Macaca mulatta: one gene and its partner. The protein of the gene in region 1 purifies or fractionates together with the protein of each later gene. This does not show direct contact. Links are inferred from orthologs where the notes say so. Each region holds a gene or a part of one and is shown on either strand. Other genes may lie near its edges.

What was found.
Region 2: the proteins of PRMT8 (region 1) and EWSR1 purify together in Homo sapiens (affinity purification with mass spectrometry; 3 studies listed by BioGRID and IntAct, counting the BioPlex papers as one, with this or other methods). This does not show direct contact. The link is inferred for Macaca mulatta from reciprocal best matches to the Homo sapiens genes PRMT8 and EWSR1.

What each region holds. Positions count from the first base shown.
Region 1 is NC_133416.1:4,397,430-4,403,185, reverse strand, and holds the start of PRMT8 (protein arginine N-methyltransferase 8), read right to left. Parts: upstream 3,591-5,756; 5' UTR 3,174-3,590; coding exon 3,099-3,173; intron 1-3,098. UniProt on the Homo sapiens protein: S-adenosyl-L-methionine-dependent and membrane-associated arginine methyltransferase that can both catalyze the formation of omega-N monomethylarginine (MMA) and asymmetrical dimethylarginine (aDMA) in proteins such as NIFK, myelin basic protein, histone H4, H2A and H2A/H2B dimer.
Region 2 is NC_133415.1:22,274,923-22,279,891, reverse strand, and holds part of EWSR1 (RNA-binding protein EWS), read left to right. Parts: intron 1-1,032; coding exon 1,033-1,219; intron 1,220-4,969. UniProt on the Homo sapiens protein: Binds to ssRNA containing the consensus sequence 5'-AGGUAA-3'. Might normally function as a transcriptional repressor. EWS-fusion-proteins (EFPS) may play a role in the tumorigenic process.

The DNA of each region.
Region 1 (5,756 bases):
TTGCCAATAGTGCCCAGCAAGCATGTGAAGTTGATGCTCTCATGCCCTAGCTGGCTACTTCACTTTGTGGAGGGAGGCTCTGGTCACAGTGTAAGTAGTTTTATTCTTCACTTGCTCCCTTCCTGCCCAATGGTTGGAGTATCTCTCTGTATCTTTACCTTGTGAACGAATACCTCCTCCCATCCTGGCCCACCCCCATCACTGCATCTCTCCCTTCCAAAGTATTCCTCTCCGCCCACTCCTCATCTACTCCCATTCACACATGGCATCTTGTTAGAAATAGCAAGGGTAGGGCAAACAGCAATGAATCAGAAGTGGGGGCAATCTGTGTTTCAGGGCTGACTTAACCCACCAGATGACTTTCAGCTACTGCTTGACCTCAGCCTCGGTGTCCTCAACTATAAAATGGGGATAAGAAATGAATACTAATCTTTGCTTGTCTCGCAGGTTTGTTGTGAGGATGGAATGAGATAAACAACAAAAAGGAAAAGGTGGCTACAGGATTATCCATCATAGTTGTCCATGAGAGTGGACATCTGAGCCCCCCCAGAGCAGGGACCAGGTGGTCCTCATGGGTACCTAGCTTTCCTGGTACAGAGCCGGCGCTTGATAAAGAGATGTGCAATTCAGAACTAGGACCACTACCACGCTCCGCACCACCCACTGACACACATGGAGGCGTGCTCCTGCCGCTCTCATCCACCATAAATGCAGGCAAGCCCACAACACCCCACTTTTGGAAGTGCTGCTCTAGTCCTGGCTTATTCCAAAAACAGCCAGTTCCTGGAGGGAAACCAAGTGATTGTCACGCTGCCTGGATGCCTCCGCTAGGCACGTTTGACCAAGTCTGGGTTCTACCCCTTCTGCAGGGAAGTTGCTAAGAACTGATCCGCCAACCTGGCTCACACCCCTCCAAGGAGCCCCAGCTGGGTGCGTCCCTCCCCGCACTGCCTTGGTGGCCCGCACGCGACGTGGTTTTTTGTTTGTTTGTTTTGTTGTTGTTCGCAGGAGCCCGGCCGCCCCTACTGCTGTTTTCATTGATGCCTTGAGCAGAGCTGGCATGTGCAACTGCTGAGAAGGGGGAGCGCGGAGCGGCGGGGGAAGCAAGTAAAAATAGCCTGGCGCGCGGCGCTCTGCCTGCTCCGGACGCCTTTAACCCTCGCCGAGGTTGGAAGAACGCAGCAGCCGGCGCTGCACACTGCGGAACCTGGCAGGGGTCTGCACCCAGACCCCAAGTGGCAGCGGGGGTACGGGGCAAAGGGGCCAGCCAAAACTTTTTTTTTTTAGAAAAATGAGCCGGGCGTGGGGTGAGGTGGAAATGCAGGGAGGAAGCGCCTTCTCGCTTCCAGGGCTCCAGCCACCTGGCAGAGACCGCTACGTGCCCGCTCGCTCCACATTTCACAGAAGCGCGGCCTTGAAACCCTGGGCTATTTTTAGAAACCCTTTCGGCGGGTGGGCGATCAGAGCGCGGAGGGTGAGGGGACTGGTAAGGATGGCTTTCTTCTGGGAGGCTAGCCGCCTCGCACTGCACATCATTCCGAATGTCTGCTCTCAGGTGGGGGCTGGGGAAGAGGAAGTGGTGAGGGGACGGCAGGCATGCAGGCTTTGCCCTAACTCAAGGAGACAGCACTCGCTACTGAATGCCCCACTGCTTTCAAGTCCCGGAGCGTGTTTGTTTTGAAACCGACAATTGCCAGATGCATGCTGCTTCTAGCCTCTCAGAGGATGGGGATTGATAAAGCGTTGCTGCCTACGCGGTGGGGCAGGGGTTTTAGCAGCAGAGTTAAGACCTCAAGGGAAGAAGACCAGGAAGGGTCTCTCTACCTTTTTGCATTCCGGCAAGACAGAGGGACAATCCCCGCGCCACACCCCCGTCCCCGCCCCCCGCTGCATATGGGTAACCATATGTGAAATGTGCGGCAGCCCCACCAGACACCCAGCTATTAATAGAGCCCGGGAGTTTGCTCTCTGTGTCTTTTTCCTGCCACTGAGTAAGGGATGATCTTCACACACATGCCCCACTCCGCCCCCACCTCGGCGCACCGTTTCTCCAGGAAGGTAAGGGGCCTGCCCACGCTGATCCCCTTCGTGACTACAGGTGCCCAGAGCCTACGGAATAGTCCGGTTGTTGTAATGACAGCGGGGTCAGGGCGAGGCGAGGGATCACAGCCTCGAGTCTTGGGACACAACGCCCAGCAGGGCTCTCTGCGGCTCAGGGCCAGCTGGAGAGTAGAGAAAAAGGCCGCCGAAGGCGGGGGCCAAGAACGCAATTTGCGGAGCTACAGCGACCTCCTCAAAAGCCCTTGCGGGACGGGCGGCTGCAGACCCGTTTCTCACTGCAGCCGGCGGCGCGCAGCCCCCACAGTCCGCGCAGGCTCGGCTGCGGCAGGGGCGGACGCTGTCCCTGGTGCTGAAGGTGGCCGCGGCCCGTGTGCCCTGCCGGGTTAAGCGCCCCAGAGGCGGCTCTGACATCTGACGATTGCAGACTTCTCTCTGGCCCAGATCTGGGCCGGAGGGTCTGTAGGAGGTGCTCAAGCCCTCCCGCCGGCTCGGCCCCCGCGGCCGGGAGCTCTCCGCGCTGCTGCGGGGACGGAGAGCTCGGGGACCGACTCGAGCTTGAAGGGTAAAGCTGAGGCAGCGGCAGGAGATGGTCAAGACACTGCAGGGAGCAGACCTGGCCCCAGGATTACCCACCCCAGCTCTGCACAAAGCCGGGACCCGGGAGCCCTCACGGAGCCCAAAGGAGAGGGCAGGGGAGCGCGGCTGCCCAGGGTTTGGGACTTGGGGGCAGGAGAAGGGAGCAGCGGGCGGCAGGAGAGGGTGATGGGGTGAGAGTGACTGTTTTGCATTTTCAAGAGGGAGGGGACCTGAGACATGAACTTCCCCCCCACCCCCCACCAACACACACACACACACACACGCGCGCGCACACACACACACACACACACACACACACACACACACACGGAGGCCGGCAGAAGCAAGCGGGATGAAGCTGGGGAAAGTTTGGCACTCGGTGCTGAGCGGCGGCGGCGGCGGCGCGGTGGTCCGGGTGGGCGGCGGGGTCTCCGAGAGCCCCTGCTCGCTCGCCTCCTTACCTCGGTGTTCTCGGCCGCGTTCTCCGCCATTTTCCTCCTTAGGAGCAGGCAGCGGGAGGAGTGTTTCATGCCCATAAGAGCCAGCAAGGATTTGGTGATACAGAGATAGTAGAGAAAGAGAGAGAGCTGGTGTAGCTTTAAAAGAGAGAGCGAGAGAATGGGAGAAAAAATTCCAACCCAGCCCCTCTGCTGGAGCGTCAGCCGGCACAGTCAGCCACAGTGGAGTCTGTTCTGCAGTCTCCACTTTGTTTTATTTTCCTCCTTTCTCATCTGCTCCGGATTCCTTCACACAGTTTCAAGTTCTTCTCGTGCCCCCGACCCCCCTCCCCGCCCCTCTCCACCCGCGCTGCGGGCTAAGCGCGAGGGAAGCCGCCCTGAAGGCTCCGCGGCGGCGGCGGCGGTCGCGGATCCTCTCCAGGCTGCTCGCAAAGTCCGGCCGGCCAGAGGCAGCCGCCAACTCCTCTCAACTTCTGCCGATCCGCTGGGCGAAGCAACACGCTTCCTGCGCGTCTCTCCTAGGGGCTGAGCCGGGTGAGTGGGGGCGGGGTAGGAGGTTCGGTGGAGCAGGCGGCGGCTGGGCGCAGACCGAGGGCCCCCAGCGCCCCCGGGCCCGCCCCCTCCCCTAGTCTCCGAGGGTCTTGGCCGCCTCCACTCCCTGGCGCTGCGCACAACTTGAGCGGAGACCAGGCCCGCGCTGGGGGCCCAGAGAAAGCAAGCGCCGGGCAAGGCTCTTGCAGGTTCTCAGACCCGGTGCGCGTGCTCCCACCTAGGGCGAGCTCCGGGCGAGACCGGGCCACAGTTAACTCGCACCCTCCCCACCCCGTCCCACCCCAGCTCTCCCGCTCCTCTGCCAGTTCCTGGATCCTTCCTTGGCGAATTATGGTTTGGGGAATGAAAGGGTGGGTGTCTGGATGGGGGAGGGTCCTTAACTCCTTCAACTCTAGGGGTAAGTGTGGTGTCATTCTTTATCCTTCTCTCCCATTCTCTGTACCCAAAGCCCTTGGGACTCCAAGCCCCTTTCAGGTTGAGAGGCAGGGGCAAAGGTGGCGGCCAGGGTGGCTTGGGAAAGAGGGTGGGAGAAAGTCAAATGCGAGACTGCAGTGCCCGCCGCCCCCCCAACTCCAGTCTTCCCTGGCAGCCCCCTGCCCACGCATTTCTCTTCTCCCTCCTCACCCTTCCCCCACCATCGCCAGATTTTGAAGTCCCTTTTATGGGAGAGAGGGAGGATGTCACGCACCCATCAGGATTCTCTTGATCCTTTTTTAAGGGAGTTTAGGCGGCAGCAGGGGGTGTGAATTTTTATACAATGCATTCCTGTCTTCACTTTGAGAGCTGCTTTTTCTCTGTCTTACTGGCCATCTGTCGGGCAGTGGGAGATAGAACAAAAGCGGGGGACCCCACTCTGCCTCTCCCTTTGCAGCAGGACACTCAGGCTGACTCCTTAAAGCAGCTGCACTTTTAAGCTTTCAGCCTACAAGTCAGGAACTGAGACCTAAAAGATGCTGCCTGAGCACCCGGCTGTCTTCACGTCATCTCTGTACTTGTTTGGGGAGGTCCCTCCCAAATGCCCTATTTGCTTTTATCATCACCTTTGATAACTGGGAAGTGTGAGCCTGACTGTCCTCAACTAACCCGAGTCCATTGAAGAAAAGGGCTAGAATCTTTCTCAGTACGAAATATGCCTCCATCATCTGGTCCTCGGGGAAAGAGAGGATACATTGCACTAAGTAGAGGTGAGAAGTGAGGGATAGAGGAGAGGATGAAGAATGAGAAGGATGAAAATGTAGCAAGCGGCTTGAGTTAATGAGACTGTGTGTGTGTGCATGTGTGTGTGTGAGAACTTGAATAAAAATACGGCCTTAACCTCCTTAACCTTTTCCCTTCTCAGAACACAGACCTGGGTTAGAGCTGGGGGTGAGTGCGCAGAGTCCTTGACAACACCCAGTCGTTCTTCCCGTTCACATCCTGCCAACGTGCAGAGAGTGGTAGGGAAATAAATGATGTGAATCTGGAGGATGACTTTTACCCTATTGAATTCCTTTTTCTCTAGGCATCTTCTCAGAGACAAAAGATTCTGAGAGACACCTAATCCCCTACCAAAAGTGTCTCGGTGTTTGTGCAATCAAAGGAAATCAGAAAAGAAGGGATTCTCACCGCTCTGTGGTCCAATCCTCTCATTTTACAAATAAGGACCCCAAGATTGGACAGAGGAGGACATTTGTCCATGGTCCATCAGCAAGCCGAGGACCCAGCTCCCCAGCCTCCTGACTTTCAGTCCGACACTCTGCCCCCACCCGGCACTGCTTCTGCTTGTGCATCCCTTCTGTGACTAACCAGGGAGGAGGGGAGCTGAAACAAGCTCCCACCGGAATAGGCTGCTGCCTGTGCGTGATTATGTTGCTATGAGAACCTCAGTGGGTGTGTTTCCTCCTTTCGCTGTTGAAATCTTTTGCTTTGCTTGGCTTCTCCCCAAGCACAGACACGTCTCCCTTTGGAATGGGGAGTGGAGAGGCTGAGATGAAGAGCTATATTCTCATGGCAAGAGTTTTCTATCCCAACCCATCCAACCCAGAGCCAGCCTGGGGCTGGGAGTGAGGAGCCTATGCCACTAGGGTGGTTCCATAAAGGCTGGAGTCCAGGAAGGAACTGTTTTGAAAG
Region 2 (4,969 bases), on another chromosome or scaffold:
ACACTTCTTACAATAAAAGGGACTCTAGTTAGGAGCTACAGACTTTTGTGGTTTTGGTCATGCTCCACGCCCAGGTCCCAAAGGGAAAGGCATGGATCCTGCCTGGTCTGGTAGAGGCAGGAGCTAGGGAGAGAGTGCATCTTGCTTTGCAGCATACCTGTGAGAGCAGGTCTTTTCTGACACCTGGTTAGTGAAGTACTGAAGGGAAAGAGGGACTCTAGGGTTTACCTCCAATATTGCTGAGCAGGAAAAGGCCTTTTGCTTGTGGTAGGTAAGTAAGAGAGGAATGGAGCTGAGTAACTTGATAACCAGGCAGGAATCTGCTTTATGATGTGAAAATATTACCTTTTAAATGTTTGGAGCAGTATTGAAGTTTAATTTGAAATAATTAACCAAAAAAGTTTAACCTGTGTTAAGCAACTATAATTTATAGTTTATCTTTATTATTCATGTGCTTAAGTAATTGAGCTTGTTCTTCACGTGATGTAGTGCTTGGAACTAAAAGAAAGTGATTAATTACTACCCAAATTACAGGTTTTAGTATTAGAACTAGTACCTGGATCATTATTTTGTAATTATTTTAAAATGCTATGTCATTTGCCTTTTACCTTTTTTTCTGGGATATTTTTTTCCTGCTTGAGGGCATTTTGGGGCGTGTAAGTTTGTTCAGAAACTTGTTAAGAAGACCTGCTAGCAAAATTAGTACAGACTTGGCAAAAACAGACTTGTCTCCTATTCACAGCGTTCAAGAGGGGTCAGAAGGAACCCTGCTTTCTGTAGCATGACATGCCATTTCTCTTAGGTGTGGTTTTAGAGCAAATGAGACGGTTACTTTACCAAAAACTAGGTATATTCAGAGAACTTACGCTTTAAATAGTAGTTTGTTGCTACTATTGCTGAAGGGGGAATATTTAAAGGGATTCAATATCATGATGGTTTAAAAGTAAGTGGTTTACAAATTGTTGTGATAATGAGTGTGTAGGCAGATCTTTGAGGGGGCCTGAAATCTGATGCAGCTCTCCTTTGTTCTAGGTTATACTACTCCAACTGCCCCCCAGGCATACAGCCAGCCTGTCCAGGGGTATGGCACTGGTGCTTATGATACCACCACTGCTACAGTCACCACCACCCAGGCCTCCTATGCAGCTCAGTCTGCATATGGCACTCAGCCTGCTTATCCAGCCTATGGGCAGCAGCCAGCAGCCACTGCACCTACAAGGTAAGGCCACGGTCCCCTTAATGCGTCAGTCTCATGTTGGAGAGAAAGAAACCAACTACATACACTTAAAGGAATCTGTGGATTAGTTCCTTATTAATGGTTGCTTTCACATACTCTCAGATGTTCACTGTTGTTACATTATAGTAACTGATGTGATAGAACATACCACAGAAATATTCTGCATTTAACAGTGAAATTGGCTGGGCACAGTGGCTCATGCCTATAATCCCATCTCTTTGGGAGGCCAAGGCGGGTGGATCATATGAGATCAGTAGTTCAAAACCATCCTGGCCAACATGGTGAAACCCCGTCTCTACTAAAAATACAAAAAAATTGGCTGGGCATGGTGGCTCACGCCCGTAATCCCAGAACTTTGGGAGGCCGAGGCAGGGGGTTCACGAGGTCAGGAGATCGAGACCATCCTGGCTAACACGGTGAAACCCTGTCTGTACTAAAAAATACAAAAAATTAGCCAGGCATGGTGGCGGGCGCCTGTAGTCCCAGCTACTTGGGAGGCTGAGGCAGGAGAATGTCATGAACCCGGGAGGCGGAGCTTACGGTGAGCCAAGATTGCTCCACTGCACTCCAGCCTAGGCGACATAGCAAGACTCCGTCTCAAGAAAAACCAGAAAAATTAGCTGGGTGTAGAGGCGCATGCCTGTAATCCCAGCTACTGGGGAGGCTGAGCAGGAGAAGCACTGTAACCTGGGAGATAGAGGTTGCAGTGAGCCAAGATGGCGCCATTGTACTCCAGCCTGGGCGACAGAGCAAGACTCCATCTAAAAAAAAGGTGAAATGGTGCCATCCAAGGGCCAGCATGAGGAATGGCACTGAATAGGTTCTCTGGTTTCACAATGACCTTTTTGGGTAGGAGAAGGCTATTGTTTTAAAGAGTGTGTTTTCACTCAAAGCAGCATGACTGATAGAATTGTACTTTTGATGCTTTTATTTTTGGTTTCATTGACCTTGTAAATGGATAACCGCTTTCTCTTTGGGAAAAACATGGTAGTTCACACGGGCAGGAGGGGAAGGGGTGCATCACGTGAGCCAAGAAATGGTCGTATGACCTAATTGTCTGGAAAGAACATACCCATATTTGAGAAATAAAACATCACTGCCTCAGCTTAAGCAGTTGACATGATTTTCTCTACATTATGTAGAGGCTTAATAATCTAAATATAGGCAAATAAAAATTCTTAACTGGGTACCCTGCTGTAGGATGCACAGAGCTCATACCCCATGACTGGTTAGCAGGTAAACTGTTAATTATTACTTAACAAAAGATTTTAGGTCTTTGCTTCAGACAGTCACTTAGGTGGCTTCTGTATACAGTCTTGAAGGTACATTGAATTCTGGTTAGAAAGAAGACATTTTGGGGAATAAACAAGAAATCAACTTCTAACCTAGACTTACCTGCTCTAGGGGTAAGAAATTAGCTCTGACAAACACTCGTGAAATTACTTTTAAAATGCATAGTGAGTAATCAGAGCCACTTGATAATTTATACTTGGTAGGCAGCCTTTGCGGTAGCTAAGTTAAACTTAGTGGCTCATTCCTGGAAGGGCCTCATTTCGGAGTGTCATCAGACATATGAAGTCCCATTTGATGCTCTGATGCAACAGTGTATCCAAGCCATATCAGGAGGGTTTTATGTATGAATTGGGGTTTGATAAGGGACCTATTTCAGCTTGGGAAAAGTTAGTACTTCACACCCTCTCTGGTTTTCCTGGGTTTTTTTGTTGGTTGGTTGGTTGGTTTTTTTGAGATGGGGTCTAGCTCTGTTGTCCAGGCTGGAGTGCAGTGGCGAGTGCACCCACCTCCCAGGTTCAAGCTATTCTCCTGCCTCAGCTTCCTGAGTAGCTGGGACTATAGTCATGCACCACCATACCCGCCTAATTTTTGTATTAGTAGAGGCAAGGTTTCACTATGTTGGCCATGCTGGTCTCGAACTCCTGACCTCAAGTAATCTGCCTGCCTTGGCCTCCCAAAGTGCTGGGATTATAGGTGTGAGCCACAGCACCTGGCCTGGCCTGCCTGTTGATTCTTTGGGCTTTGCTTAAAATACTAATAGCTCTAACTCAGTCTGCTGCAGCTGTGATGTAAACTGTTAGGGCCAAGAGGTAATAGAAACCCCTGGAGTTTTCCTTGGAATTGAGATTAATTTTCATCATTTAACAGGGATACATACTTCCAGGTTCATCCGAGCAGGGAGTTGGGAGGGGTCTCTTTGCCTTACTCTGGTGTTTCCATTATGGAGACTTGGAGCCGAGTTAGATTAATTTATGCAGCTCCGTTTAGTAAATGATTTTTTCTGGTTGGTTGGTTGGTTTTTTGGGTTTTTGGTTTTTTTTTGTTTTTTGTTTTTTGTTTTTGAGACGGAGTCTCGCTGTGTCTCCCAGGCTGAAGTGCAGTGGCGTGATCTCGGCTCACTGCAAGCTCCGCCTCCCGGGTTCACGCCATTCTCCCGCCTCAGCCTCCCAAGTAGCTGAGACTACAGGCGCCCGCCACCACGCCCGGCTAGTTTTTTGTATTTTTAGTAGAGACGGGGTTTCACCATGTTAGCCAGGATAGTCTCGATCTCCTGACCTCGTGATCCACCCGCCTCGGCCTCCCAAAGTGCTGGGATTACAGGCTTGAGCCACCGCGCCCGGCCAGTTTTTTTTTTTTTTTAAAGACAGAGTTTCGCTGTTGTTGTCCAGGCTAGAGTGCAATGGCACAATCTCGGCTCACTGCAGCCTCCGCCTCTGGGGTTCAAGTGATTCTCCTGCCTCAGCGTCCTGAGTAGCTGGGATTACAGGCGCCCACCACCGCACCCAGCTATTTTTTGTAATTTTTTTTTTTTTTTTTAACCGAGTCTCGCTCTGGTGTGATCTTGGCTCACTGCAAGCTCTGCCTCCTGGGTTCACGCCATTCTTCTACCTTAGCCTCCCGAGTAGCTGGGACTACAGGCGCCTACCACCACAACCAGCTAATTTTTTGTATTTTTAGTAGAGACGGGGTTTCACCGTGTTGGCCAGGATGGTCTCGATCTCTTGACCTCGTGATCTGCCCGCCTCAGCCTCCCAGAGTTCTGAGATTACAGGTGTGAGCCAAGGCGACAGGCCAATTTTTTTGTGTTTCTAGTAGAGACAGGGTTTCTCCATGTTGGCCAGGCTGGTCTCGAACTCCTGGCATCGGGCAATCCACCTGCCTTGACCTCCCAAAGTGCTGGGATTACAGGCATGAGCCACCGCACCCGGCATCTTTTGAGATGGAGTCTCTCTGTCACCCAGGATGGAGTACACGATTAACAGCTCACTACAACCTTCACCTCCCATGCCCCAGCGGTCCTCCCACCTCAGCCTTCCAAGTAGCTGAGGCCACAGGCATATACCACCATACTTGGATAACATTTTTCTATTTCTGTAGAGGTGGGGTCTCCCTATATTACCCAGGCCAGTCTCAAACTCCTGGGCTCAAGCCATCCTCCTACCTTAGCCTCCCAAAGTGCTGGGATTACAGGTGTGAGCCACCATGTTTGGCCTGGTCTGTTTTTAATAAATAAGAATCATAAACCTGCAAATTCTCTAAATTTATGATGCCATGGACTTACGTAAATGTTACTCCAACCTAAAACTTACATTATTGTTAGTTTCTAGTCTTCAGCAGTCCCCTTTGAGAAAAAGCATTTATTCCCTAACAGATCACGTCTCCCGGATCACCTAAACTGGTAGGACAGAATATCACAACGCTCTTTTATAGCTTTTACTG